4 linked regions of the Notamacropus eugenii genome follow. The protein of the gene in region 1 binds, or shares a complex with, the protein of each later gene. Links are inferred from orthologs where the notes say so. Each region holds a gene or a part of one and is shown in the gene's direction. Other genes may lie near its edges.

Region 1 (7,496 bases):
TTCAGCAAGTCAGAATCTTTTTGCTAATGGAGGGTCTTGCCTTAATGTTGATGGCTGCTGACTGATCAGGGTGGTTGATGAAGGTTGGGGTGGTTATGGCAAGTTCTTAAAATAAGACAACAATGAAGTTTGCCTCATTGGTTGACTCTCTCATGTGCACAGTTAGAGGCCATTGTAGGGTTATTAATTGAACCAATTTCAATATTATTGTGTCTGAGGGAATAGGGAAGCCTGAGGAGAGAGATAGGCATGATAGGTCAGTGGAGCAGTCAGAACGTCCCCAACATTTATTAAGTTTATTGTCTTATATGAGTGGGGTTTGTGGTGCCCCCAAACAATTACAATAGTTACATCAAAGATCACTGATCCCAGTTCACCCTAACAGCTATAATAATAATTAAAAATTTGAAATATTCCTAGAATTGCCAAAATGTGACACAGAGACATGATGTGAGCTCATGGTATTGGAAAAAATGGGTGATAGACTTGCTTGATGCAGGGTTGCCACAAACCTTCAAATTCTTTTTTTTAATTCAGAATCTTCAAAGTTCCATAAAGTGAAAAACAAAAGGTGGAGGTATGCCTGTGCTTCATTTCCTAAGGACATTTTTATTGACTGCCCCCACTGCCTGGAATGTGCTTGCTCTCTCTCTGTCTCCGTCTGTCTGTCTCTCTGTCTCTGTCTCTGTCTCTCTCTCCATCTCTGTTTCCTACTTTCTCTGGCTTCCTTTAAGCACCAGTTAAATTCTCACCTACTAAAGGAAGCCTTTCCCAATCTCTCTTAACCCTAGTACCTGCCCTCTGTTGGTTACTTCCAGTTTATCCTGTATATAGCTTGTTTGCACATACGTGTTTGCCTATTGTCTCCCCCATTAGACTGTGAGTTCCTCAGGGACAAGGTCTGTCTCAGCCTTAACTGTGTTACAAGCTGTATTAGCCGAGTCACTTGACATCTCAACCTCAGTTTCCTCACCTGTGAAATGAGGATAATAATGGCACCTATGCATATCAAGTTATTGTGAAAATCCAAGAGATAACACATCTAGTGATTTGTAAACTTGAAAGCACTATATAAATGTTAGCTATTATTAGCCATGTAAAAGCAAAAGATAGAAAAAGAAAAGCTATTTTAAAAATTTCCAACCTTCCTTATGACCAAAAATATATATAAATCAAATGTTTCGGATTTTAGTGATGAAACCAGTTAGACTCACTCTCAGAAAGCAGAAACAGTTTGTGGCTAGACCAGATTTGAAATACATCGAACCCAGCTGAAACTTCAAGGGATTACAAACTGCTAACCCTACAGGGCCTTTAATAACCCAGGGTTACAGTCACAATCCTGGAGATGCAGCTTGGAGGTAGAGCTTCTGTGGAAGGTTAAGCATATATATAGTAATTCAATGTACTTGGAGAAAATGTTTCTTCCAAAGAATTCAAATAGGTTATTGAAACAATATAACCATTACGGAAGCTGTGGCCCAGTGGAAAGAGGTCTGGACCTGGAGCCAGGAGACATCTGGATTTGAATTCCACCTCTGACTTTTAGTATGAGTCTGAATTAATGAATTCACCTCAAAGGATTGGAATAGTTTTCAGAAGAAGAAAGTCAATTGATTAACAACCATATGAAACAAATGCTCCAGATATTTAAGTTCATAATAAAAAGAATAAAAATTTAATGACCTCAAAAATGCAAATTAAAACAACTCTGAGTTCTCACCTCACAGCCATCAGATTGGCAAAGATGATACAAGACAGAAATAGTTGGTGTTGGTGGAACTGTGAATTGGTCCAACCATTCTGGAAAACAAATTGGAACTAAGAGAAAAGTCCCTGAACTGCTCATTCCATTTGGCTCAGCAATCCCACTTCTGGGTCTATCCCTTGAGGAGGGCAATGACAGAAAACAAGGTCTCAAATAGAACAAAATACTCATAGCTGTACTCTTTGTGCTTGTAAAGGAAAAAAAAAACTGGAAGTAAGCATCCACTTTAATTGAATGAATAAACTGTAGTATATGAGTGTAAGATTATTGCACCAGTAAAAGAAAAAAAAATTAACAACCACCAAATTTGAGAAATTCAATGGAAAGACCTGCACGTGTTGATGCAGGGAGAAGAAAGAAACCAGAATCTAGAGAACAGTAGACAGACACAATGACTACATTTGCATAACATAAATGAAAACAACCCTAAAAAGCAGTTGATCTCAGATTAAATTCAATGAACAGTCTTGGTGCCTGAAAAAAAAGATGAAGAAACATATCCTTCTTCGTAGAGAGGTGGGGAAGGCAAGGTTCTCAACTGTCAACCTTAAGATGTGATTGCTGATGTAAAGCTCTTTGCAAGTCTTCAAGCATAATACAAAGGTGAACTACTATTATTCATCCCTTTGTTTGGCTTAACTGTTTTTCTTTTGTTAATCAATCGGCCAACAAGCATTTTTCAAATGCCTACAGTGTTTTGGGCTCTTTTTAGGTAGGCATTGTACTAACCACTGAAGATACAAGCACAAAAGGAATATAGTCTGTCCCTGAAAGAAGCTTGCATTCTGTTGGAAAACCAAGTGCCTGTATAAGTATATGAAAAATAAATACAAGATTTTTTTTTTTTGAAGGGGAAGGTACAAGTGGCTGGGTGAATCTGGAAAGGAAGGCTTCATGTGCCTGATAGTGCTTGAGCTAAGCTTTGAAACTAGGTATTCCAAGAGGTGCAGTTGCTAAGAGAATTCATTCCAGGCATGGGAAACAGCCTTTACAAAACCATGGAATTGACAGATGGAGTATCTGGAATAAGGAATTGCAAAAAACGAAAATTTGACTGGACCTTAGAGTGTGTGAAGGGGAATAATGTATGATGAACCTGAGAAAGTTATTGGGTGGGTGGCTGGGGGGGGGGGAAGGTTATGAAGGAGGAATTTGTATTTGCTCCTAGAAATAATAAGCAGTCACTTATTTCATTAACCATCGGGGAGGCACTATCAGACCTGTGTTACAAAGGACATTTAATAAGTATGAATGTGAGAGTAAATCAGGAAATGATTGTAATGTTAAAAAAAGAAACACTTCAAAGACAGTCTGGCATAGCACCAAATCCTTGTTTCTGACACTTAATAGTTGTGTGACTTGACTCCTCAGTCTTCATCTGTAAGATGCATTGGAGGTCCCTTCTCGTTATGATCCTATGATCAAATTTTTAAAAAAAAGTTACTAAAAGAAAGTTACTTCCTCTCTATGGCTCTCAGTTTCCCCATCTGTAAAATGGGTTTAATAATTATAGCGTTGCGGTAAGGAAAGCTATACAATTCCTAGTTACTATATTCCACCGATCGATTGCCTACATAGCGCAATAGACAACCTGCAACATTTTGTATACGAAATGAGTTACAAAGTTAACCTTACTCGGCTACTGTTGCCATTTTTCGCTTTTTCAGTTTTGTAACTTCCCAGGAAGGTGCCAGGCCGGCTAGAAGCGCACTTTCGGGCTCCGACCCAGGAGCACTTACTAGGCGGCGCTGTTTCAGCTGCCACCCGCTTCCCAGGCCGCCCCTAGCGGCGAGCAGCCGGGGCTCTCCGGCTTCCCGGCCCCTCAGTCCCTTGGTCCTTTCCTCTCTCTCTCCTCCTCCTCCTCCCCCCCTCCCCTGGAGCCTGGGCTCACGTGACCCCTCCGCGTCCAATGGGCAGGCAGAGAGGCCGAGCTGGTCCCTGCGGCCGCCATTAAAGCGAAGGGAAAACCCGTGAATTCGGATTAAAGGGGGAAAAACACCGCCCGCCGGGCCCACAAAATGGGGGAGACGACCGCGTCCAGGCGGTGAGGCCGCGGGGGGCGGTGGGGGGGGAGGAGCGGACGGGCAGGCCGGCCCGGCCCGGTCCGGGGGAGGGAGGGAGAGAAGCGAAACCACCAGCGAAGAATGGTCTCAGCCCGCGGACGCCGCCACCGCCGCCGCCGCCGCCACCACCGCCGCCGCTGCTGAGCAGACTCCGGGCTTGAGGACGTCGCTGGAGCCGCTGCCGGGCCGGGGTCGGGGCCGGAGTCGCGCCCGCCTGCCCTACCTGCCCTGCCCCTTCCCTGCCTCCCCGCCCGCCCTTCCCTGCGCCCCAGTCTGGGTCCGGGCGCTGCGGCCTCTGTTTAGGTTTTTAATTATTTATTCTGTAATTTATTATTAATTATTCATCTCTCCTCTCGTGCCGCGGGGGGCTGCGTGTGCGTGCCAGTGCGTGTGTGAGTGACTGAGTGCGAGTGAGCGTGTGAGAGCGAGCCCCCGTCGGCCTCGGCTGAGCCGGGGGGCGGCGGGTCCCCGGGGCCCGGCAGCGGAGGCGGCGGCGGCGGCAGGTCCCGTCCCCCTCGTCCCCGGGCGGGGCTCCTCTCCAGGCTCGGCCCGGCTGACCCCTCCGCCCCGGGGCCGCGGCCGGGGCAGCCGCCGGGAGTGGGTTAGAGAGGGCGGGCGGCTGGCCGGCCCCGCGGCGGCCTCCTCTTCCACCCCCCTTCCCCTGCTCCCTCGCCCGCCCGCCCGCTCGCCCGCCTCCCTCCCCGGCGTCTGTGTTTCTCTCACTGGTCGGAGGCGGCGGTAATGGCGGATGGTGGGTTGTGGCGCCGGCGGCGGCTGTGAGGGACGATGAGTTCCTGCTTCGTGCCGAACGGGGCCAGCCTAGAGGATTGTCACTGTAACCTCTTCTGCCTGGTGAGTGAGGGAGCGGGCGGGCGGGCGAGCGACGGCCGGAGGGAGGGAGGGAGCGAGGGAGTGCGTGCCCCCGTCCCGAGGGGCCCCGGCCCCGGCTTAGGCCCCGGCGGCCTGGGCTAGGCCCCCTCCCCGCCCGCTGCTGGCGGCCCCGGGCGCTGCCGGGCCCCCTCCCCCCTCCCCGACTCCAGCCCCCTCCCCGGCTCGTCTTGAGTCTTTCCCCCTGCCCAGAATCCCTCTCCCCAAACCCTCTTCCTCTCCTCCCTTGCCAGGCCCCGGACCGACCACCCCATTCTCCTGTTCAGCTGCTGCTTTCTCTCAGTGCCCATCACACTTTTCTAGGACTGGTCTGCCCTGGTCTCTTTCACTCCTTGCTCCCTTCGCCCCTTTAAATGAGCGGTCCTGCAGGGAACCCGACCCAGAACCCCAAGCAAAACCCCAATTTTACCAAGAAGACTTGTCCCCCCTCCTTTTTTTCCTCCTCTTAACTTGCTCACCTTTATAACTAGCAGAGAGCGCTCTGAAACATTTCAGGGATGCCATTTCATAGTTTTTTTTATTTTTAATTATTACTTTGAAAACAAAGTTTTTTCCTTCCATTTTTGACAATTTTCTAGTCATCTTGCTCTGACTGGAACATTGTGTTGTGTGTGAGTAGAGGGCAGTAGTGGAGGAGGTGCTGTAGTGTTGCTTCTGAATGTTTCTATATTTGTGTATATTTTGGTATGCATTTTAAAATATTTTGAGCAGACTGCTCCTTGTTTTAACTGGAGTGAGATGCTTGGGAAAGCTAGGCAGCTAAGGAGGAATGCATTGTGCCAGACTGACCAGGCCTGAAAACATCTCAACTGTTGCAAACTTTCTAGTTCTGAATCTGAAACTCTTAGCTTTTGTTTTTAAGTGACTAGTTTGACCTTTTTTGTTTGCCTGTCTGTAAGGAAAACATTAAAGGGATATCAGAGTCAGGAAAGTTAATTGAGGGGATGAGAGCACAACTAGTTGGCAAGTGTAAGCTGCCGGTCATGTATCAGCAGTTTCATTTTTGGCACCTCCAGCTTTGTACCTTGAAGTCAGACTGAAGACAAGTTGGAATACCAGCTGTTAATTTTCCTCCCCACAATCTTAAATTTTAAAGTATGGGGAAATATTTTCTTACAGTTGGGCTATGTTAGTCATCCTTTTTGAGCACACAGCTTTCTCTTAAAACTAGGTTTTATCTTCTGGTTTCTCCAACTTCAGTTTATCTTGTATTTTAATTTTTGTTGTTTTTTATGATGAGAGACTAGTACAGATCTGACAGTTCATTATAAACAAATAGTGAAGACTGCCTAAAACTCTTAGTGAAGAATTGGAAAGAGTTTGCTTCAGATGTCATTTTCATAAAATGTTAATAATTTTCAAATACGTAGTTACAAGATACTTTAAAAAAAAAAAACTCTCAAGGGGTTTGAAGGAGGTAATGCTGCATTGGCTGTGGAATAGTAAAGGAAGATTGGGACTGGGTTTAGATCCAGTCTGATATATGCTGTCTATGTAACCTTTGGCAAATCACTTATTCTCCTTGAACCTCAGTTTCCTTATCTGTAAAGTGAAGCAGACTGGGTTAGACAGTCTCTGAAGTCTCTTCAAATTCTGTACCTTCCAATCCTGTGACACTTCTTACCCTTGAGGCTTTTTCCCCAACATTTTTGACTTTATAGGCAGCCAGTATAAATTAGAATATTCATCGAAGAAACATGAGTGACTTCTGATTGCAAGACATCCAGAGATTACAAAAATAAATAAGACATGGCCCCTGTCCTTGAGGAGTCAAATACAGCAGAAATGAGTTGTTCTCTAAATACGTTAAATATTATGACATGAAGTATAAGTTGCATAATTCTTCTTCTTAGGTCTTATACCTCAAAGCTTTCATTGGAAAAGCATGACAATCTCTTTAAGAAACTTTAAAGGACACTTATTTTGGCTCTGTATGAATGTAAGATAATGTAATCACACTTTTTTTGTTTTTTTAACTGTAGGCTGACTTGACAGGAATTAAATGGAAACGATATGTATGGCAAGGCCCAACTTCTGCCCCAATTCTGTTTCCGGTGACCGAAGAAGACCCCATTTTGAGCAGTTTTAGTCGCTGCCTTAAGGCAGATGTACTTGGTGTTTGGCGGCGAGATCAGAGACCTGGAAGAAGAGAATTGTGGATATTTTGGTGGGGTGAGGACCCCAACTTTGCTGACCTTATTCACCATGACTTAGCAGGTGAGAGTAATTTTCATACATTTGTAACATAAGAGAGCATTATGAACCTTTTGGGGGCTGTATTAATGATGCAGATTTTCTTAAATAACACTAAAAAAAGTTATATCTTGAAAAAAGGGTAAGTTATCATGGATGAAACCAGAATAAACTAAATTTTGATATGATTCCAATTCCCTGTGAATATTGATCCTCCTGTGCTTGGTTTGTTTTTTACATTGTAGATTTTCTGTGGCAAATTGTAGAATCTTGAATGTCTTTCTCCCATCACTAATCCCTGTAGGCTTTTGCATCCCTGCTATTAGTTTATTTCCTACCCAGCAAATACATAGTAACATTAACCTAAACAATTCAATTCAGAATGTAAATCTGGTACAGGACTTCATTGAATGTATTCTCGGGACCAATATAAATGACTTGAATTTTATCTTCCATTGCTGTTTTCTAGTAGTGAAAATAACCACTATTTTATAACTAGCATTTCAGGCTTCTAACTTATGATGCTTTTACCTAGGCTTAAAATAATTGAGAGGCAACGTGGTATAGGTATTCATTATGAACAC
Region 2 (7,277 bases), on another chromosome or scaffold:
GCACGCTCAGCATACAGACTGCACTCCCACCCAGACCTCAGGGGTGGGACCACATGTGACACAGGAGGATGCTGAGATCTAGGGGGAGAAACAGCCTGACCAAAGCTGGTGGCAGAGCCAGAATTCAAGGTCAGGCTTCCAAAATCTCGGCCTGGTCATTAGGCCAAATCTGTACTCAGACCCACGTTCTGATGAACTCAGTCTTGTGATCAGCAGGACAACATGAGACTTGACAATAAGGACATCTGGCCCTTCCTGACCGCCTCTCCCTGGTCAGCATGCAAGCCCAGGACAGGTTAAGTTAGGTAGACAGAGAATTAGAATTGGAGATAGGACCACCTGAGTTCAGATCTTGCCTCAGACACTAGCTGTCTAGTCTTCCTAGATTACTGACGCTGGGCAAAGCCCTTAACCTGCCTAAATCTCAGTTTCCTTATCAGGAAAAGGGGACAGTAGCCATGTGTGCCTCCCAAGGTTGCTATAAAGATCAAATGAGATGGTATGGTAAAGCATTTTATATGTGCTTCTATGAGACAAGGAAGCAGGAAGGACCAGCTGGGGACTGGGATTCTCTCATGCTTCCTGGGAGCTTTCCAAAAGATGCAGCCTACCTTCCCTTGTCTCTACTGTGTGTCCTCTGCATATCTGAAAATAATTTTACCTCCCCTAAAGGGTGGCCTGAGTCTCAAAGGGTGGCCTGGGTTCTAAAGGAGTGGCCCGGGTTCTAAAGGAGTGGCCCAGGTTCCACAGGGAGGCCCAAGTTCCAAGGATAGCCCCGGTTCTAAAGGAGTGGACTGGGTTCCAAGGATGGCCCAGGTTCTAAGGGGTTGCCCTGTACTGGTGGGTACTCTCTCTCACCCATACTTCTGCTGCTTGGTGGTTCAAAGCTCTCCTTCCTGCTTTCAGGGGCCCAGATCAAGCACCAGGTGGGGCCTCCCTGTGACTCCAAGCCCTCCCCTGCTCTTCTTTCAGTCTAGGGGTGCATTTCCCATTTCCATCCAAGACCTAAGAACTAAGCCCAACCCCAAATCAGCAAACAGTGAAACAATCCCAGGAAAGATCAGGGCCTTTGCCAAGAGAGGAGCTCAGGATCAAAGACAAAGGAGAAAAGCCATCTTTGGAGAGCCCCATCATCAGATGAAAGGCCAGCGCCAGGTCAGGGCCACAGGAAATCCTCAGGGTCTGAGAAGCCCCTCACAGCTAAGGCTTCAGGGGACTTGGAAATGAAGGCCCTGGATCTGAAATCTACCTCTGCTATTTCTCACGAGTGACCTAGGGCAAGTTATTTTCTCTATGTGGACCTCAGTTTTCCCAGAGGACACTTAAGATTCCTCCCAGCTCTCCATCTGTGAACTAAACTGAAGACTGGGGATGCTGAAGCAATGACCAGATGGCTCCTGCCCCCTTGGCCTCTCACCAGCCTTCTCTCATTGCCCAGTGAAACCTCTGCTTGGGCACCTGCTGCCCCCTACTGTCCATTTTTAGCCTTAATGAGGGCAGGCTTCCGACATCCATCCAATTCTGCCAAGGTGCGAAGGTCCAGGCTGCTTCTGCTCAGCTCCGGGGCAGTACCAGGGCCAGTGAGGGGGAAGGTGGACAGGAAGATTAGGGCTCTATTCCTGCCATGAGAGCTGTTCAGTGAAGGGTGGAGAAGAGCAGGGTCCCTAGAGAGGCAATGATTCCTGAGGATGCTGAGCTTTGGAGGGGCTGCTGTGGGACATCCCTCAGCTGCACACAGGACAGTCTGGCTGGCTTGGAGAGCTTGTGAAGGTAGCTAAGTGAGTCTGGAAAGGCAGACTGGAAACACACTGTGGAGGCCTCTGCCCACCACTCTGGGGCATTCTCACTTGATCTGAGAGTCAGTGGGGAGCCATAGTTTTTGAATGAGGGAGTGAGGTGGTCAAAGATTTGGGCCTTTCCCATCCACCATCATCCCTTGGCACACAAGAAGCAGCTTTGTCCAGGGATGATCCAGTTCTCCCCATGCTGGCCAAAGAACCTTGGTCCATGGCTTTAGGAGGCGAGCTTCTCTTTCCCTTCCTCCTCTTTGACCCCCAGTCTCCTGAAGTGGATTTGGACTCTCCTTGCCACTGTGAATCTTGATGACCTGGGGCATTGCCTTGTCTTCCGGGATGTAGATGACCCTGAAACCTCTGTATGCAAAACTATTTGCTCCAGGAAGAACTTAATGCACAGGGCACTGAGTAGGCCATAGGAAAGTCCAGCTGCCTTCCATGCTGCTGGGATCCTCTGCCTTGGCCATCTTGGGGGCTCTCTAAGGAGCACAGTGACTTGGGAGCTCCAGGGCCTGGTCTGTTAGGGATCCTTCACCTCCCACTGCCTGTCATCATTTTTAACCCAAACAGAAGCTGTTCCACAAAGGCAATCCAGTTTGTTCCCTAGTATACTAAGGAATCATGACTCACATCTGGGCCTCCTGATGGCTAGCTTCGAAGCCTATTTCCATGTGCTGAACTAGACTTGCGTATTGCCCAGACCCCCCATTCCATGCTTTCTGAAGAGCTCCTGTCTCTAAAGAACTGTGCAGTGCATCCTCAGAACAGCCCTGCAGGGTGAGGAGGGTCTATTACCTAATGCATGTTTTTCTGTTACCATTTTAGCCAGAAGAAGTGACAAGCCCAGGTGACAGGGTCAGTGAGGGTTAGAGCCTGGGCTTTAACTGGAATCTCATGGGGGGTGAGGGGAGGGGGCTTCCCACGATGTCTTGTTCTTTCTTCTACTCTGATGCCCTCCCCCAGTCCCATCTCCCAGTTCGGTTGAGAGGGATGAAGGAGAAGTGACCCACCCTAGCAAAACAGGTCAGATTTACCCTAGCCAGAAGGAATGTCTCCCTAGCACAGACTTTGGAAGGAACACGTCATGTTTCCTCCTCTCTACTAGAGTATAAGCTCCATGAGTACAGAGACCTGGCCAGCTTTGTTTTATATCATCCCCAGGCCCTCACACAAGCTGTGAGCACACAGCAGGCACTCCAGAAGTATTTGTTGGGTGCATGGATAAGTAAGTAAGGAAGAGAATGGAAGAAGGAAGGAAGGAGGGGAGGAAGAAAGGAAGGAAGGGAGAGAGGGAGGAAAGGAACGTCATGTGGGAGGGGCAGAGAGAACAGTTGGGCTGGGTGGCTGAGTGCAAGAGGGAGAGGAACAAATGTGAAGTGAGTCTGAAAAGGCAGGTTGGGGCCAGCTGTGAAGAGCTTTAAAGGCTAAATGGGCAGTGGTGTGCAGATAGATGGTTAACAAGCAGTTCTTGAGGGGCAAATGAGACACTTTACAGTTTAATTTGTGTAATTAACATTTTCTCCACCACTTTCTTAAGTCTAGACAATCAGCACAACAATCCCTCCAACTGTGATGTGTGGGGTTCACTGTCTCCCAAGGTGTAAATGATCACACTGAGCATGGAGCTGTGGGCTCCCCCACTTGCTGGGCAGCTCTAGGTGACTTCAGCAAAGCCCTGTTAGCAGGGATTTTATATTTCCTTCTAGAAGCTGTATAGAATTGTTGGGATTATTGAGCAGGAAATCACATGACTGGATCTGTGTTTAAGGATGTTACTTTGACAGCGCATTCTAGGGCTGACTGGAATGGGGAGAGACTTATCCATACCATGGATTTGCTTGAGTTCCTGGTGTGAAAAATAACTCATTCAGGCTCCAGAGAGATGAAGATAAAAGAAGAGTTTACAAATGCACTGCAGCGTCCTGCTGGATTGACACACCCTCCAGAAACAAAAGGAAGCCTTAAAAACCCATGCCCCACCACAAAGTCCCTCTCCTGTCTCCCTAGAGGCTGGGTAATGCAGGGCGTACAGGTTTCTGATCCTCCCTCACATGTTCTCCCTCTCCTGTACACACATCGTGTAACCACTGAGATGAAGCCTTAGCCCTCCCAAAGGAGGAGAATGGGCATTCCAAGCAAGACTTTACTCCGTTGACTTCTAACCTCAAAGCAAGATAAAACCCAGCTGGAAGCATGCTTTGCTGCGTGAGACACGAGGAAGGAGTTATGTCTCCCACTCTGCTGGTTGTTATTCTAAATTTATGGACACACACTTCTCTATTACGTGTCTCAATTTTCCTTCTGCTGCTGGAAGATACTCTAGTGCTAGTCTATGCTGTTAGTGTCTTCTACAGCCAATTTACTTTCCTGCATTTGCTGCAAAGTCAAAAGACTTCCTGGTACGCATGCATCCCCTGGATTAAAAAAGTCACATATTACATAATTTTGGTGGAAACAAAAGGTTGTTTTTATCATTCCTCCCAGTCCTTCTCCAGCTTATTTTACAGATGAGGAAACAGAGGCAAACAAGGTGAAGTGACTTGCCCAGATACAACTAAGAGCCTGAGACCAGATTCTAAACTAGGTCTTTCTGACAGCAGGCCAGGCACTCTAATCACTGTGTGCCACCTAGCTGACAATTATGAGGGAAGTGGCCCTATTTCACAACAGAGGAATGGGGAGAGACTTGTGTCAGGCAGACCACCAGCAGGCTTCTTCAATAGTCCAAATATGAGATGATGAGGGGACTGCACAAGGTGGTGGCACAGGTAGAGAGATGTTACGAAGGTGACAGGCCTTGGTAACTAATTAGATCTAGGGGTAAAAGGGAGGAGTTCAGAACATCCCCTAGGTTGCAAATCTGGGTGACTAGGAGGATGGCAGTGCCTTCCACAGTAGTGATTGTGTGGTTTGTCCTTCATTCTTGAAGAGGACCATAACATCAGGGAGATGATGACATGATTTGCAATTGACTTTGATTTGAGTGAGGGAGGGCTATGCAAGGCAACTTTCTTTTCCAGAGCCATCTGGGTTCAGGGGCCAGATATCCATTAGGATCTGGAGGAGGATGCAGTAGGAGATCTCAGCCCTTTTAAGTCTTCTCAAGGGATGATCTCTTTAATGATAATAATAATAAAATCAAACTGGAAGGGGAAGACTTTCAGGGTTGCTGGCCAAAAGAGAAACAGTTAATATTTGCATTCACTCTAAGCCAGGAGGGCCAGTAAAACAACCATTAAGGCAGGGATCTACTGTGGTCAGTCCTTCAGATCCAGGGTAAATTGGGTTTAAGGCTTTGTCTTTGAAAAAGAAATCTAGTCAGTAAACCCCAAGTTTAAGAAGGAAGCTTTCCACCATCAAAATTTACATTCCTTCGGACAGAACATCAGAGAAGGGAAAGTAGAGGAGAAGGGATCGGAGGAAATGGAAAAAGAAAGGGGAAAGGAGAGGGAGAGACTTAGGAGGAGAGGAGCCTTCCACATTAATAGAAAAATGAAGAATGGAGGCCTGTAATGTTTGAGACATGCTGAGCTGAAGAAGTCTACAAGACATCTTATGGGAGATGGCCAGTAGACAGTTGGAGGTCTCCCTCCCAAAAAAATCGGCAACGCAGGAGACCCAGAGAGGCCAGGCAGTAGAGTGAGCTAGGTCTCGGGGCTGCACAGCAGGATCAGTCAGAGATTAGATGTTTGGTTTTTCTCCAGGGCATTTTTCCGGAGTTACAGATAGTAAAGTAACAGTGTAGCCCTCACGCCCGACCCCAGGGATTGGATTTTGCGCCCTACCCAGGTAGTTACTTTGTATACATCCTCCCCGTACAGCTCCTAGTATAGAACGCGTTAATTTCAAGGTTGCTCCTTCCGCCCCCTGCCCATGGCTGCTTGTGGTTACTTTGTATCCATCCGACAGTAATCTGTCCGACTTAATTTCAGGATCGGGCTCCCCATCTACAGTTACTTTGAATCCATTCTACCGGGGAGAAGTCTCCAGACCCAGACAAAGTCAGTTTCAGGGGCTCCCCTCGCGCTCCGCCCCCGTAACAATAGCTGCTACATTGTAATTCAGCTCCTCAGCAGGTTGACCTGTGCCTCGGGTGCTCGGCGGCGGGCACTTACAAAGCACCCAGCCCCATGCGGCCCGGAGCCCAGGCGGGGTGGAATTCTGTAGGGCGCAGTGATCCCGAGGTAGGGTGGCCCCGCTCCGCGCCCCCTTTCCCAGGCAGCTGCGCGCCTCTCCCTGAAGCACCGCCCGCAGCCCCTCCTCCACCGCCCATCTCCCGCCCCCTCTCCCACAAGACGCCGCGGCACGCAAGCGCGTGGGGTGGGACGCGGCGCAGGGTCTTAGGGCCCGCGGTGTCGCTGGCGCGGCTGCGGGAGCGGGGCGGGGCGGGGCGGGAGCTCGCTTATGGCCGCCGCCGTCGTCATGGAGACCTCGGGTGAGTGCAGGCTCCTGGCCGGTTCCGGGCTGGGGGGGAAGTGAGCTCCTGGCTGCGGCCCATTTCGCGGTGGGAGGACTGCGAGGCTCGGCTGGGGCGGGAGCGGAATCTCACGCGGCTCCGGACGCGCTGAGCTCTCCTCTCTTCCGCAGACGACGCCGGGAACCGGCTGCGCTTCCAACTGGAGCTGGAGTTCGTACAGTGCTTGGCGAACCCCAACTACCTGAACTGTGAGTCCCCGAGGCTGCTGAGCTGGGTGCTAGAGGCGGCTGGGGAGGCAAGGGCAGGGTCCCGACTGTGTGTGGTTTTTATTGACAAGAGCAGGGCTCAGGGCACTAGGGCCAGCAGGTAGGGGAAACTGAATCTGCTGCCAGGGAATGATTTTGAGACTTTGGGGTAATCCTGGGGCTGAGCTGCCCCAAGGCATTGAACATCATCCTTAGTCATACTCAGCACTGAGAAATGCCAAAATGCCCCAAGCTGTTCCCTTTTTCTACCCGAGCTTCGACTCTAGTAATTGAGCTTTGTTCAGCCTTTCTCTCCAATCACCTGTTCCTGCTTACCTCCTTATCTCTTTTCATCCATCCATTTCAGTGTCCCTCCCTCCACCCCTTTCACTTTCTTAAAAGACCTAGCTGAGTAGTTGGTCTGGGATGGTGATCTGGCCTATCGGAGAGGGGCTGGCATGCCCAGCCCTGGGAGGGTTTCTCTTGTCTGCATCCTGTGGGTGAGCAGGTGGGCCCCAGAGTGACTTCTTTGTCTTCCAGTCCTTGCCCAAAGAGGGTACTTCAAGGACAAAGCTTTCGTCAATTATCTGAAATACCTGCTTTACTGGAAAGAGCCAGACTACGCCAAGTACCTGAAGTAAGTCTCAACAGCGAATTCTGAATTTGGAAGCTGATGTTTTGCCTTAGAAGAAATAATACCTGACTGGCTTCCCAGGTGCCTTCTGGGGGTTGGCAGAGTGCCAGCTGTACTTCATCCTTAACTCAGGCAGCTGTTGGGAGTCAGGAAAAGTCAAGTTGAAATGTGGCCTCAGACACTTC
Region 3 (7,323 bases), about 18 Mb from region 1:
AAGATACAAGTAGCTGGATGTCATTTTGTGTGAATTCCAGCTGGGCTTCTATGTCTGATGCAAAGAATCACTCAGAGCTCCCGAATTCAGATAAACAATTATTTTATTAAATATCCATTATGGAACATTTACCTCCTTTCATCTACTAAAGAGGCAGAGTGTTATCATGCCTAGAGCGCTGGCATTGAAGCTTGAGAGCTGGATTCAAGTTCTGCCTCAGACAGAAGATGGGCTGTGTGATCCTGAGCAAACTGGAAAAATTTTAAGCAACAAGCTTCTATTTATTCTCTGGACATTTACAATTTTTTTCCAAATATAAGATCATAGTTTTTACATATATTATCCTAGCTTCTTCATGCAAATTGGTGTAGATGTCTAACATTATTTTGTAATTTTGAGAAAATTAGATCATTTATAAATTTTTACAAGTTTTTCATGGGGAAGATAGGAGTTGCTAATATTTTTATGAAGAAATAGGAGTAAAATCAGTTACCGACAACACCTTTTTAATGTTAGAGTATTTTCTTTTGGTTTCATGCTTAAATGGCAATTAGCATGCCCATATCCTCCATTATTTATCTTAGCACTAATGTTCCCAGAAGGCTACATTAAGAGGGACATAGATCCATAAAGCACTTAGGAATAGTTTTACTATATACCTAGTCACTGTATTATAGCTTCCAAGAACAGGGAGGGGATAATATCACAGTCCTCTGCCCTTATCAGACCTCATCTTAAATACTGTAGTACCATGATTTATGAAAGATATCAATATAAATTGCAAAGTGGAGGACAACAGAAATGGAAAGGGACAAATGAAGATGGGCTAAAGGAATTGGACATGTTCAACAAAGGATAAAGGAGAATGGGGTAGGGGTGAAAGGGTACATGAGAACTGGAATGCTACCTTAAAAAATCTGAAGGACCATCTTGAGGAGGAGAGATTATACTCATTACACAGTACCTCCCCTCCAAATAAGAACAATGGGTAGAAATGTCAGGAAAAATTTTCTAACAATTTGATGAATCCAATACCAGAAAGAACTGCTTTGAGAGGTTGTAGGCTCTTCTTCCTTGGAGGTCTTTGTCTGCTATATTAAGAGTACGGATTCTTTTTGTATGAGTTGGACCAGTTAGCCACTGAGGTGCTTTACAACTCTCAAAGGCTGTGAGCTCACTACTAACTGAAGCAATCCATTTCACGTTTTTTCAGGTAATTGGCATTAAGTGACTTACCCAGGGTCACACAGCTAGTGTCTGAGATTCTGATTTGAACTCAGATCCTCCTGATTCCAGGGCTGATGCTCTATCCTTTATGCTACCTAGCTGCCACACCCATTCTACTTTTGAATAGTTGTCTAAAATCTGCCTCTATTACTTTTATACAATTTTTAAAATTTGTTTTCTAAGACCAAAAAAGACCAAGTACAATCCCTCTTCAAATATTTTCTTTTGTCCTCTCTACCTCCTACAAAGTCTTCTCCAGGCTAACCATCTCCAGATGACATTACCTCCTATCTTCTTAGCATCTTCAGCACTATGCTGGTATGCAATTCCTGTCTGTGACCTTCCTAAAACATGTTGCACAGAACCAGTTGCAATATTACAGATAGGCCCTGCCAGGCATACTATGGTTGAATTTGGACACTATACTTCCATTATGCAATATATCATATTTGCTTTTTTAGCTGCTGTCATGATGAGATTTATCTTGGGCTTACAGTGCACTAAAAGGTCCTAAATTTAGTCAGTCATGTTTTCTATAGACTGTAATGGAAGAGTTGGTCTGTTGAATTTGAGTGAAGGACTCTGCATTTATCACATTAAATTTTATCCTATTAGATTTGGCATGGTGAGGCAGTACAGTATAGTGGATAAGAAGGGTGAACTAAAACCATGAAGGTCTGGGTTCGTGTCTTGTCTCTGATATATACTGGCTATGTGACTCATGACAAGTCCTTTAGCCTCTTATTACTCTTGGCAACTCTTCACAACTGCACATTGCAGGGAAGGTGCCCATACATACTGGTAGAGGAGGGGCTCCTCATGCCAATGAAATTCTAAGTCCAGTCCTTATCTTTGTCAGATTATTTTCTTTTCCTAGATTCTGCTCATTGCTCTAGCCTGTCAAGATTTTCTGGGATCCCAATTCTGTCACTCAGCATATTTGCTATCCTTTTCAGCTTTGTGACATTTTCAATTTTACAAGTATGCCATCTGTCTGTCATGCAACTAATAAAAATGTTGAGAAGTAAAAGCTCTAGGATGAAAGCCTGGTGGCATTAACTAGAGTCCCTTCAGGTTGACATCATTCTATTAATAACTATTTGGGGGAAGAGGGAGCAGCTGTTTAACCAGTTCCTGAAACCTTCCTAACTGTACTATCAGGTAGCCCACATCTTTCCATCTTGTTCACAAGCGTATTATTATAAAACACTTTTGTCAAATGTCTTGATGAAATCCTTATATGCTATTTTTATGTCACTTTCTTGATCTATAAACCTTGACCAAAAAAAACCAAGTGAAGTTAATTTAATATAAAATTTTTTCTTAAAATTTTTATTGATATCTTGTTTTTGGATTGCATTCATACTTGATCACAACTGTCCCCTTTTTCTACCCTGTCCCATGTAACAAAGTATAACCCTTTTAACAAAGAATAACGGGAAAAAAGCAGCAAAATAAAACTAACACATACAGCCCAATCTTGTCTGATAGTACATGGTGATCGTTGTTTCCTTCCTAAAGGGTTCATAAGCTAACCCTTTATAGAGTGTTTTAAAATTTTGTCAGAAATGAAAGTCAAGCTTATTGGCCCACAGTATAAGGAATCTAATTTTTTTCTCTGTTTGAAAGCCAGGACATTTGCTCATCAGAAGGCCTTTGGCAACATTCCTTCCTTCCATGATTTTTCAAACATCGCTCAGCAATCATATCCCTTAAATTTTTTCACTACTCCGAGAGGCAGTTTTTTCAAGCCTAGCGATTCGAGGCCAGATAGTTTCTTACATTCTCACTTGAGTTTCTTTCCTTTCAACTATTTTTGCTTAATATTCCAAAGTCTAATGATAATGGCTTTCATATTCAACTATTGTTTTTTCTTTTTAAAAATTTATTTATTTATTGTTGCTTTTTTTTTTCTCACCAAGAAAAATCATCTCCAGGCTGGTAAGTTTCTTTGCCTAAGGAAAAAATCATGAAACTTCCCTGTCAGATTTATTTCCTTAGGAAGGAAAACAGAAAAAAAGAATTGAGTTTTTTGATATGCATCATTACCCTCCCAACTGCCTGCAGAGTGGCCCAATCTCTTTCTTGATTTTCTCTTGGCTCTAATATTGCTTAAAAAGCACTTCTCCACAGGGTATTGACGCACGGACTAATGCATTCTTAATGGAAACAGCTGTCTTATTCTAATATATTTTTATATCAGAACAATGAAGCTGGAGAGAAAAGTGGTTATTCTTAACCTAAGGCTTGTGGGTGATCATGAAAAATAGGGGTGGTTTCTTCATGTAATAAAAACTGCCCTGGACTAGCCATAAGATTTGCATTCAAATTCTGGTTTTACTACTAACTATACCCATGACCTTTGGACACAACCACGAATGGTGGAAAGTGAAAAAGCAGTAATCGGGAGTTACAGCCACTTTTCAAAGCCCAGCTTTGCTCTTTACTATCTGCATGACCTCAGGCAAGTCAAACATTACTAGAATTTAAGTTCCCTGAGGACAAAGGCTAAGTCACTCTTGCACTGGTACCCTCCACCGCCAGCAGTGTCCGGCGCTTGGTATGGGTTTAATGTTGCTGGCGAATCGCTCTAGATTTCAGTTTTGGTGTTTTTTGGTTTCTTTTTTGCAAAGCCAAGGGGTTGGCGTAAATGATCTCCACAGTCCCCCCAGACCTCTCTAGCACCGAGTTCGCTTATCTGTAAAGTGGAGATCACCACAGCGGCCATGCTCTCTGCCTCGCAAGGTCGCCGCACGTTTTATGAAGCACGAGGAACTCTTGGCCACCTCCAAGCCCTAAACACCTAGGAGCTGGGATGACAGCGATGAGAGGATTCCTCAGCTACGAACAAAAAGCCTTAGACGGCAAACTCTCTGGTTGCCAAAACTGGAAAAACGATTTCTGCAAGCGCTTACTTCTTCAAACTCATAGTATTGTCAGCCCTAGGCGTTTTTCCCAACTGTGAAAGCCACTGGAGAGAACCTGCAACTCACAAACCCTAAGAAAGAGGAAGAGGAAGTCGGCGAAATCTCGCGAGACCCTTTCCGCGAGCCTTGTTTGCGTGTTTCTTCTGCACCAGGCACGCATACGTATGTACGCACGCCCGTGCGCCGGCTCCCCGCTGCTCTCGCGAGCCTTGGGGAGGGTCCGTTGGGAAGATGGCGGCGGCCGCGGGCACCCTTCAACTTTTGCCGCCGGGCGCTTCGGACTGAGCCTCCCGGAGGCGGGGGGCGGAGCGGGCGGCCCCGGAGCCCAGCGCCCCGGGAAGCCTGAAGCGGCTCGGCCCCCCGCTGGTGGGTGGGGAAGGGTGTCTCCCGTTGTGTGGCGGGCGAAGGCCCTCCTTCCCCGCCTCCGGGATGAAGGCTCAGGGAGAGGCAGAAGGTTAGTGCTTGGGGCCGAGGGGAGGACGGGCCCGGTCGGGCGCGGAGACACAGGTTTGGGGTCCTGCTGGAAGCGGGTGGACCCCTCTCAGGTTGGCAGAGCCCTTGCCGTCCCCTGCTGTAGGCGGCGGGCCGGAAACGGGAGGAGAGGCGGTCCGCGTTGCTGCTGACGTCCTGGCGGGGGGTCGTCAGGGGAGTGGCTGGACCTAGGTGGCCTCGAGGATCCTCTACCTGCAAGCCCGAGTAAACTCTTTGTAAAGGAGAAGCAGAAGGGCATCATGGATGTTCAAGAAATAACAGACGTGCCACAAACCCACGAATAACTGCTGTTCCGATCCAGAGGCTAGCTTGTAGCACGAGCAGCCCTCCGATCGAGCGTGGGGTTCGCTGCTTTTTTTTGAAAAAAGTCTATTAAGTAGCACGAATAATAGCGCTTTAGAGCTTGCGGAGCACTTGGCTAGCTTCATCTCATTTTCGCTTCACCACAGCCCTGGGAGGTAAGTGGTGATTCCCACTTCTCCGACTGGAAAACTGAGGGAGACACTTCCCGTGGTTTCCTTAGAGTCCCGGAGATCTAGTAATGGCCAAGGCTTAGGTCCTTCCACCCTGTGCACTGCACCGGCATTGATAGAGTGTAGTGATGTTTGCAGAACTTGCGTACGTAGGTTTTCTCGTGCTTAACCCTAACAACGTTTCTGGGAGGTAGGTCCTGTTATTATCTCCATTTTACAGAAGAGGAAACTGAAGCTGAGGGAGATTGACTTTCTCAGGGTCATCCAGCTAGTGCACAGAATTTGAACTTACTCAGGTCTTCCTGACTCCGGATTCAGTGTTTTATCCACCATGACACCTAGCTGTCTATGGTCTTTAGACTTTGTTTTGATACAGTGGATACTTTCCAACAAATATCCGGATGACATTCCTGCTCTTACTTGTCTTTTTGCTGCCCACCCCCATATTCCTTATTCCTCTAGTTGTCAGTGCTTTCCCCTGTTACTTTGTATTGTTTTATACTTGCTTGTGTTGTTTCTCTATAGTAGAAAATAAGCTCCTTGAGAGTATAGGTTGTTTCTGTTTGGTCTTGGTTTCATTTGGTCTTCCTAAGCATTGAGCACTGTGATGCTATAAATACTTATTGGATCAAATGACAAGGTACATTCTCTCAAAACAAAACCATCTAATAATAGCATATCCTTCTTAAAACCATCTAATGTAGATGCTATTATTATCTTCCTTCTAAAGAAACATATGGTCTAGAGAATAGAAAGCTGGCCTCAAAACTGGAAAGACCTGGACTCAAGTCCTGTCTGTTACACATGCTAACTCTGTGACCCTGAGAAAATCACTTCATCTCTTAGTACTCCAGGCATCCACAAGTTGCAGAGAAGGTGTACTAACTTGATTTGCTGGAGGGAGTTTTCCTATCTGGGAGTTTCCTCTACTAGTGAGATCACTGGTCCGGTTCCTGTCCCTTTGCAGATGAGAAAACTGAGACTCAAAGAGGTTAAGTGACTTGGTTGCCTTTATATAGCTAGTACCTGAGGCTGGATTTGAGCATATGTTTTACTGAAATCCAGCACTCCATCCATGATTTCTCAGTGCTTCTTGAGAGATGACACAGACTCCATTTACAATTTAATGAGGAGAAAGGCCAAGTGTACACCTCTGGTACCAGGTCTGGTAAGATTCAGTTCCACAAAAACTCATCAAGAACATAATATTTATCAAGGCAATGTGTTGTGTACTTTTTATATAGAGACAAAATGAATGTTATTCTACTGGGAGAAGCTGTATATACACATATATGCAAACATATGCACACGTGCACACACAAACACAGACAAATAAATGCAAAAATATAATAGCTAGAGCTTCCAAGAAGCAGCATTAAGAAAGGGCAACATTCCATACATAGGGAGGAATGTCAACATCCTGTACAATGTGGGAAAAGGATTGTGACAGTCTGGTAAAATATGTTGAAGGCAGAGTGAAGGACACTAAATGTCCTAGAGACAATAGGGAGCCATTGAACTTTCTTGAACAAGAACGTGACATGATCAGATCTGTGCTTTTGGATTGTTAATTTGGTAGCTGTGTAGAGAGGATGGATTGGAGAGAAGAAATGGAAAATAAGAAGAATAGTTAGGCTATTGCAGTAGTCCAGATTAGAGAAAGTGGGAGCCTAAATCTGTCAACCAGCAGGCATTTATTAAGTGCGTACTCTGTGTGAGACACTGTTAAATACTGGGGATTTAAAGGCAAAATTGAAACACCCAATATCCTCAAGGAGCTAATTTAGAATAAGTTGAGAGAAGAGGACATATGTGAAAAATGGAAGCAAAGTTGACAAGTTGTAGTAGCTGACTTAATATGGGGAGCAAAATCAAGGATGATGCCAAGTTTGGGAAATTGATTGTTATAGAGGAATTATGGTGCTCTTGAAAGAAATAGGGAAACTGGGAGAAGGAGGGATGGATTTGTTAGGGAAGAAGATAATGAGTTCCATTTTGGACATTTTGATAATAAATGTGAGAGACCCAGGCAAAGTATGACAAGAAATTTGAAGGGGTGTTCACTTTCACTCAGAAGTAGAGAGGGAGAGAGAGAGAGAGTGAGCAAGAGCAGAAAAAGTGCCATATGAGAGCTGGCAGCTGAGTTCCTTAAGACTGATGCTGGGGCAACTTAATTCCAAGTATAGGGCATTGACTAAAGCATG
Region 4 (7,904 bases), on another chromosome or scaffold:
CTATAAAATGAGGAGATTGGTTTAGATGACTTCTAAGAACTTTTTTTAGCTCCAAGCCTATGATGGATAGATTGATTAATTGAAGCAGATGCAGTCTTAATAATCTTTTTGCTTTCATTTAGTATCCAATCAACTTGGATACTCTCCAATCAATATCCCCTTCCTGTGCCCCATGCCTGGAAAGCCCTCCTTCATCTCTGTCTCCTGGCTTCCTTGAAGTTTCAACTGAAATCCCACCTTCCATAGGAAGCCTTTCCCAATTCCTCTTAATTCTAGTGACTTCCCTCTCTTAGCTCTTTCCTAAAATTTTCCTAAATTTTTGTACATAGTTCTTTACATGTTGTCCTCTCCATTAAACTGGGAGCTCCTTGAGGGCAAGGATCGGCATTTGCCTTTATCTGTATGCCTGGCACATAGTAGGCATTTAATAAATGATTGACTGTTCTCCCTCCTTTCTAGTTACTTTTCTCTTTAGTCCATCCTACATAAGCTACTAGATACTACACATGCTACTTCATAAAATACAACTTACGTTATATCTTTCCTTTGTTTTAAAAAAAAAAACAAAAACACCAAAAAACCCTACCAAAACTTCAAAGACTACCTGCAAAATAAAGTTCAGACTTCTTGGTTTATCATTTAAGACCCTTGGCAACTGGTCCTAACCTACAAGTTCCAGTCTTATCTCCCATTGCTCCCTTATTTAAATATTCTACACCTGGCAGGTTGGATTATTTACTGTCCCTAGAACACACCTTGCATTCTCTAGCTTTTGCTCTGGGTGCCTTTGCTTTTCCCACCCTCAAATGCCCTCTCCTCCTCTTTGCAAAGCCTAGGGCAAATCTCAATCACTCTAGGTCTTCTCTAAACTCTAGAACTATCCTTTCTCTGTAACTTCACATCCATAGCCACCTCCTTCACAGAACCTTATCTGACCACCAATCCCCCTCTGGCTTGGTAGAGTGCTTTCCCTTATCAAATTCCTATTTTTCTATGGCTGTATTATATGTCTGCTCCCTAGTAAATTCTCTGAGGTTAGGGATTACACGTTTTTTTCTTTGTGCCTCTCTTTAGCACAGCGTCTTGCATATAATGAGCTTTTAATGTGTGCTGAAAGAAAACATCTTTGCATCAATCAATATTTCTTAATAAAAACTGACATTTATATTAGGGTCAGAGAAGTTGAATGACTTGCCCATGGTCTCAGAGCAAGAATCAGGATCTGAATTTATTTTCTGAACTCCAAATCCAACACATACCATTCACATCCTACCATCTACGTGCATTGTACTGTGATAGATACAAGGGATAAAAACATTTTTTTTAAAAGAAAAGAAAAATATAGTCCCTGCTCTCCAAGGGAATATTCTAAGTGCCCAAATAAGTATGGTACAAGATAGAATACAGGTGAAAAAAAGGCAAAAAACAAATCAGAAAAGGTGTTCTAGGAAAACTGAAGGAAGGAGAGCATTTTCATTTGAAGGGATCAGGGGAAACCTCCCTTATCACAGAGGGAGATGGTAGCTGAACTGAGCCTTGAAAGAAAAGAATGATTTCTATAAACGAAGATGGAAGAAGTATACATTTCAGGTGTGGTGTATGGCCCATAGGAGTGCACAGAGGCTGGGAGAAATAAGAGGAGATAAGGAAATATCTAGCAGTCCAGTTTAGCTGGAATATAGGACATATGAAGGAGAAACGTGTGAAATAAGGTGAGAAAGGTAATCACCTTTTTTGTTTGTTTTTTAAATCAAATATCTATTATGTTCAAGGCATTGTGCTTTGTGGAGGGGCTTAAATGATAAGCTAAGGAGTTTGTGTTCTAGTTGATAAAGCAGTGGGAACCACAGAAAATTTTTGAGCAAGGGAGGAACATGGGTAAAACTATTCCGTAGGAAGATTATTTTAGCGATAGGGTGGAAACAGTTGGAGGCTGTCTATAATAGATGCTTCCACTTCCTCTCCTTTCATTTTTTCTAAACTCTTTGAAATCTGGCTTCCAGCCTCATCTTTCCACTAAAACTGCTCTCCCCAAAGTTATCTTAAGTTCTCTTAATTGCCCAGTCTAATGGCTTCTTCAATCCTCTTCCTTTCTCTTGTTTCTGCAGCTTTTGACGCTATGGATCACCAGCTCCTCTTGAACTCTCTTCTCTCTAAGTTTTTATGACCTGGTTCTCTTCCTATCTAACTGCTCCTACTTTCCTGCATCTTCCTTTGGGCAACACCCACTAATTGTGGGTATCCGACAATCGTAGGTTCTCTTTTCATCTCCCTCTCTACTATCTTACTTGGTGATCCCATCAGCTCCCAAGGGTTCAATGATCAACTCAGTGCTCATTATTTTCAAATCTACTTATTTAGCTGTAATCTCCCTCCTGACCTCCAATCTTATATCACCAACCACCTCTATTTTTTTTTTTAAACTGAATAACTATTTCATCCAGGCTGAAACTCACACCATCTCTTCCTGATTTTACTGTTTGTTAGTTAACAGAAATTTCGACCTGCACTGTTTCTGACTTGTGTTGGTTCATCCCTCCTTAGACAGCCAGGGGGTCCTTCACTCCTGAGGGCCCTTCATGACTAGGGGATACTGGATAAGCTTGAGTTTTACTACAACTCAGAACTCTGGAGCTCAAGTGATTCACCAGCCTCAGTCTCCCCAATAGGAGAGATTACAGAGGTGTACCACCACTACTGCCTCTTAGTCATGTCAAACAGTGTCCTATAGTTCTCTCAAACAGCATTTCCAGTGTTTCTCCCTCAAACACACCCCTTCTTTTGGACTTCCCTATTATTGTCAAGGGTACCACCATTCTCCCACTCACCCAGATTTCCAATCTCTGTGTCATCTTGTATCCCTTACTTGTACTTGCCTCATGTATCCAGTCTATTTCTAAGTCATGTCATTTCTACCTTTACTTTTATCTCACATAAAAACTCTCTTTTTGTAATCACTCTAGTGGAAAATCTGCAGTCTCCAGGCCACATGTGATCCTCTAGGTCCTCACGTTCAGCCCTTTGACTGAATCCAAACTTCACAGAACAAATCCTTTTATTAAAGGCAGGTTCCCCACTCTATCCCAGTGCATACCCATCTCACTTCTCACCTGGACTATTAGAACAGCCTTCTGATTGGTATCTCCCCTTCCATTCCATCCTCTACTCAGCTCCCAAAGTGATCAAAGTGATATCACCCCCACTCAGTAAAATCCAGAGGCTCCCTATTGCCTCCAGAATCAAATATAAAATTCTCCATTTGGCTTTTAAAGCCTTCCACCAGCTGGCCCTAACCTGCCTTCCAACTCAATCCTCCTCCCCCTACATTCTCTATTATCTAGCAGTATTGACCTCCTTTCACATAATATGCCATCTCCTGACTCTGGGTTTTGTTTTGTTTTTTACTGACTATTTGGAATGCTCTCCCTCCTTATCATTACTTCCTGTCTGCCCTGCCTTTTCATAAACTCAGCTCAAATCTCACCTTCTACAAGAGGCTTTTCCCAGTTTTCTCCTTTCTTAGTGCCTTCTCTTTGAGATTACCTCCCATTTCCCATGTATATTTTATATGTACATGCTTGCTTGTACATTAGAATATGAGTTCCTTAAAGGCTTTAGTCCAGTGCCTGGCACATAGTAAGTACTTAATAAATGCTTGTTGACTGACTAAAGACCAGGAGACAATTTAGGAAGCTATTAGGATGGTCCAAGGAGGGTTTAAATTGGGGAGGGTGGCAAAATGTCAGACTTCTTTTCTAGGAGTATTCCCAAGTAGATCATGGACAACACAAGAGGACCTCTAAGTACAAAGATATACAGGGATGTTGTATTTATAATAACAATAACCTGAAAGCAAAACATGTGCCCATTACACAATGGCTAAACTCTAACGTATGACCGTAATGGGATGTTGCTCTGCTGTAGAGAAGGACAAGTACAAAGAATTAAGAGATATTTGGAAAGACTGATGCAATGATTCAGAGTGAACAAAATAAAGCCATACTAGCTACCCGTTTTGGTCCCATCAATTCCTCCAAAAAGAGGAAAGTGACATGTATAGAATTAGCCAAGTGAACTGTGAGGTAACTTTGTTTCAGGGAGATAGACTTGGTGGAGTTCAGCAGCAGTAGATGTGAACTCACTAGGGCAGAGGACAGCTTTCTGGTTGGTCTGGTTTCCCCTAAGAGATCTGAGGCTTACCCCCTGGAATTCAGCTGACAAGGATAAAAGGATCTCCAATTTCTTCAGCTTGGGAGCTCCCCCTACCAGATGGCTGAGTCTTTGTACAAGGTAACCTGCTTAGACGTTAAAGTTGGCAGAAGTTCATCAAGACTTGTTTGAGTCAGTGACTAAGTATCCTTTTCCCCCTATTTCATAGTTATTATTTTTCCAATTACATGCAAAGATAGCTCTCAACCTTCACTTTTATAAGATTTTGCGTCCCCATTTTTTTCTCTCTCTCCCTCATGTGCCTGCTCTCCAAGACAATCTGATATAGGCCATTCATGTACCATCTTATTAAACACATTTGCACATTGTTACTAAGTATCCAAGGCAGGATTTGTGAACCCAGGTCTCGTTGATTTCAAGTCCAGCTGAGCACTTGGACTGCTGGCCCAGCCTGCATACAGGAAGCATTTAATAAAGAGGACTTTGTAGAGGAAAAAGTCTTGGTTTTAAAGAGAAACTGAAGGTCCAGTCTCTTTCCCTGTCTGAACGTTAGTTTTTTCCTTCCTTCAAATAAGATGATCAGTAAGGTAGGCTGTTTCAAGCTATAGATCTTGCGACCCCAGGAAGCTACGAATTGAATGGCGCCTTCCACAGGGCACTCTCTTTGGAGGCCGCCATCTTCCGTACGCAAGGACCACACATTACGCATGCTCTCCTTTTCCGGCGACTCCAAAACCGATTTGTGCGCATGCTCGCTCGCAGTCACCCGGACGTTCAGCCGGCTGCGCTTTGATTAGAAGAATTGAGAGCGAGGACCACGGGCTTTCGGGCCTCGGTGCGTCCGGGTTTCCGGGAGGGGGACGAGGAGGGAGAGGGAGCTCGGCCCCGGGGCTGTGGGCAGCGGAGTGGAGCCGAAGCTAGCCCCGGGCTGGCCTGGCCTTGGAACAACAGCCTCTGCAGCCCTGAGGGTCCGGGGTACGCTGAGCCTCTCGTTGTTGCGGCGCATGCGTAGTTTGGCCTCACAATTTTTTTAATTGAGCCCGCCCCTTCTGTGTGCGCGGGAGGGGGTCGGCGGTAGATGGGGGGGGGGGGGCGCCCCAAAGAGCATCCCCCTCCAGGCCGAGGTTTCTTCCAATGTAAAATAAGATTTAGAAACCGGTCTCTGAGGCCCCTTCCAACCCCAGTCTATTTCACTCGTTTCTTACTAAGTCCGGCTCTTCCTGACCCCGTTTGGACTTTTCTGGGCTCAGATCCTGGAGCGCTTTGTCCTTTTACAGATGAGGAAACTGAGGCAGACCCAGCCTGAGGCCCGACTCGAACTCAGGAAGATGAGTCTTCTGATTCCTAGGCTCTGGGTGGGGTGGTTGTGGTTTTTTTCTCTTTCGGGGCTCACGGTCTTATTTCCCTTTCCTTCCCCGTCCCCCTTTTCCAAATAAAGTAACTGAGGCTCCCCAAGGTTTAAGGGATTTGCCTTAGGTCGGTTAGGGGTCCGAAGCCATCATCGTTCCCAGATCTAGCACGATTTATGTTAAAACGGCGGGTCTTTGAGTAATGAGCGAGTGGTCCCAGGCTAGCTATCATGACCTGGGCTGTGCAGGAGGTGAGAAATAACCCAGGCTTTATGAGAGAGGAAGTGACATGTAGGTAGGTACTATCATACAAGGTGAAGTGTCATGAGGGCAGAAGAAAGATCCAGACCTAGCCCACCAAGGAGAAACATCCAGTTGGGGACTTCTGGAAAACTATAAGAAAAGAAATGAGGAAAGACTGAGCATTGGACCTCACTTAACTAACTGGATGATGCTGGGCAAGTCACTGAACTTCCCTGCCTCAGTTTCCTCAGCTGTAAAATGGAAATAATTACAACACTCATCTCCCAGAGTTGTTGTGAAGATCCAATGTGTTATTTGTAAAACGTAAATGCTTTATGTTATCACTATTTTATTAATGCAGTAGCCAGTGGTAATAATTAGTGGCATTTAACTTTTCAATGTTTTCAGAGCACTTCACATGTGATAACCCTCTAAGATAGTTAAGGAGTGTCATCCCCTTTTCATAGACAAGGGAAATGAGATTCAAAGAGGTTGGGTCATATATCCATGGTCCTAGTAGCCAGTAAGTGTCAGAGCTACTGTTTAAAACAAAGGTTTTCCGATTCCCACTGGAGTGTGCTCTGTTGTGCCAAAAAAATACAAGTATTAAAATATAAATAAATGTGGGAGAGCTTCCATAAAGTGATACCCCAGTAAGAAAGCAGAATCAAAACAATAAAAAGTGGGGGAAAAAGGGGACATAAACAGGATATTTTAGTTACCTTGTTAAAGATGGCAGATGCTTCTTTTCTCGAAGTGAAGTCTATGATTTTATGTGTAGTTTAATTTTATTTCAGTGTTTTTACTTTAAAATACAAAAATATAATCAGCTTATTGGGCAAAGTGATCTGTAAGGTCCTATCACTTCTATAATCCAAGGATCCCTTCTGAATCAGATTTTCTTTTGTTTCTTATCACTCAGGGAAGCTGACAATATGGAGGCACCTCCAGTCACCATGATGCCAGTAACAGGTGGCACTATAAATATGATGGAGTATTTACTTCAAGGTAAGTTAGCCTAGGAATTTGTTATATCACCCATTTTGTCCTCTTTGAATCAGTTATGATAAACATTTTTGCCAGGAAATAAGGCAGCTATGGTATGTATGGTTCTGGAGCGGGTAATAGGAAGCTTGGATTCTGGGTCAAGCTTTGCCACTAAGTGGTTGTGACCTCCAGATAAGGAAATTCATACTCAGGTTGAGTAGCCCTTGGGGCTCATTGTAAAAACAGAGGATTAGAGTAAGGTGATCTCTAAGATCAAGTTGTATTTTGGTTTTGTAGATGGTTATCTGAAATGTAGAAAGCTAGAATGATGTTCAGGGTTTAATGGAGCTTCCTAGGAATTCATGTCCTCTGTCATGCTCCTTCTGTTTTTTATTTTCCTAATGAAAGTGAAGAATGAGGTTCCCGTGATGTTTTCCTTCCCTTTAGGAAGTGTTTTGGATCACAGTCTAGAGAGCCTCATTCACCGACTTCGGGGACTGTGTGACAACATGGAACCTGAGACTTTTCTTGACCATGAAATGGTGTTCCTCTTAAAGGGGCAACAAGCTAGCCCTTTTGTTTTAAGAGCCCGGAGGTCGATGGACAAGACTGGGGCACCCTGGCATCTGCGCTACCTGGGACAACCTGAAATGGGGGACAAGAACCGCCATGCCCTAGTACGTAACTGTGTAGACATTGCCACGTCAGAGAACCTGACTGATTTCTTGATGGAGATGGGCTTTCGAATGGACCATGAGTTCGTTGCCAAGGGCCACTTGTTTCGAAAAGGTATCATGAAAATCATGGTATACAAGATTTTCCGAATCCTGATGCCAGGAAACACAGATAGCACAGAGGCCCTGTCCCTCTCTTATCTTGTGGAGTTAAGTGTTGTGGCACCAGCAGGACAGGACATGGTCTCTGATGACATGAGAAATTTTGCTGAACAACTAAAGCCTTTGGTTCACTTGGAGAAGATAGATCCCAAAAGGCTAATGTGACAGAAAGGGACTGCCTAACATTGGGATCTGTTCTTTTGCGTAATAGAAATCAAGACTCCAAATAAATACACTTGAGCAACAAAAATTGAACTTTTTAACCTTGAGTATAAGGGTTCCAGGAACTTACCTGAGCTCTGGACCTCACATCTCTTTT

Evidence for each region.
Region 2: MED13 (region 1) and MED31 share a complex: the UniProt entries of both Homo sapiens proteins name them as parts of the mediator complex. The link is inferred for Notamacropus eugenii from reciprocal best matches to the Homo sapiens genes MED13 and MED31.
Region 3: MED13 (region 1) and MED1 share a complex: the UniProt entries of both Homo sapiens proteins name them as parts of the mediator complex. The link is inferred for Notamacropus eugenii from reciprocal best matches to the Homo sapiens genes MED13 and MED1.
Region 4: MED13 (region 1) and MED18 share a complex: the UniProt entries of both Homo sapiens proteins name them as parts of the mediator complex. The link is inferred for Notamacropus eugenii from reciprocal best matches to the Homo sapiens genes MED13 and MED18.

Annotation. Positions count from the first base shown.
Region 1 is NC_092873.1:373,002,830-373,010,325, forward strand, and holds the start of MED13 (mediator of RNA polymerase II transcription subunit 13), read left to right. Parts: upstream 1-4,489; 5' UTR 4,490-4,617; coding exon 4,618-4,683; intron 4,684-6,701; coding exon 6,702-6,936; intron 6,937-7,496. UniProt on the Homo sapiens protein: Component of the Mediator complex, a coactivator involved in the regulated transcription of nearly all RNA polymerase II-dependent genes.
Region 2 is NC_092877.1:388,545,422-388,552,698, forward strand, and holds the start of MED31 (mediator of RNA polymerase II transcription subunit 31), read left to right. Parts: upstream 1-4,259; 5' UTR 4,260-6,200; coding exon 6,201-6,231; intron 6,232-6,383; coding exon 6,384-6,461; intron 6,462-6,998; coding exon 6,999-7,095; intron 7,096-7,277. UniProt on the Homo sapiens protein: Component of the Mediator complex, a coactivator involved in the regulated transcription of nearly all RNA polymerase II-dependent genes.
Region 3 is NC_092873.1:354,984,870-354,992,192, reverse strand, and holds the start of MED1 (mediator of RNA polymerase II transcription subunit 1), read left to right. Parts: upstream 1-4,317; 5' UTR 4,318-4,583; coding exon 4,584-4,608; intron 4,609-7,323. UniProt on the Homo sapiens protein: Component of the Mediator complex, a coactivator involved in the regulated transcription of nearly all RNA polymerase II-dependent genes.
Region 4 is NC_092876.1:69,438,581-69,446,484, forward strand, and holds the start of MED18 (mediator of RNA polymerase II transcription subunit 18), read left to right. Parts: upstream 1-4,895; 5' UTR 4,896-5,005; exon of another isoform or gene 5,006-5,145; intron 5,146-6,684; 5' UTR 6,685-6,697; coding exon 6,698-6,770; intron 6,771-7,196; coding exon 7,197-7,750; 3' UTR 7,751-7,904. UniProt on the Homo sapiens protein: Component of the Mediator complex, a coactivator involved in the regulated transcription of nearly all RNA polymerase II-dependent genes.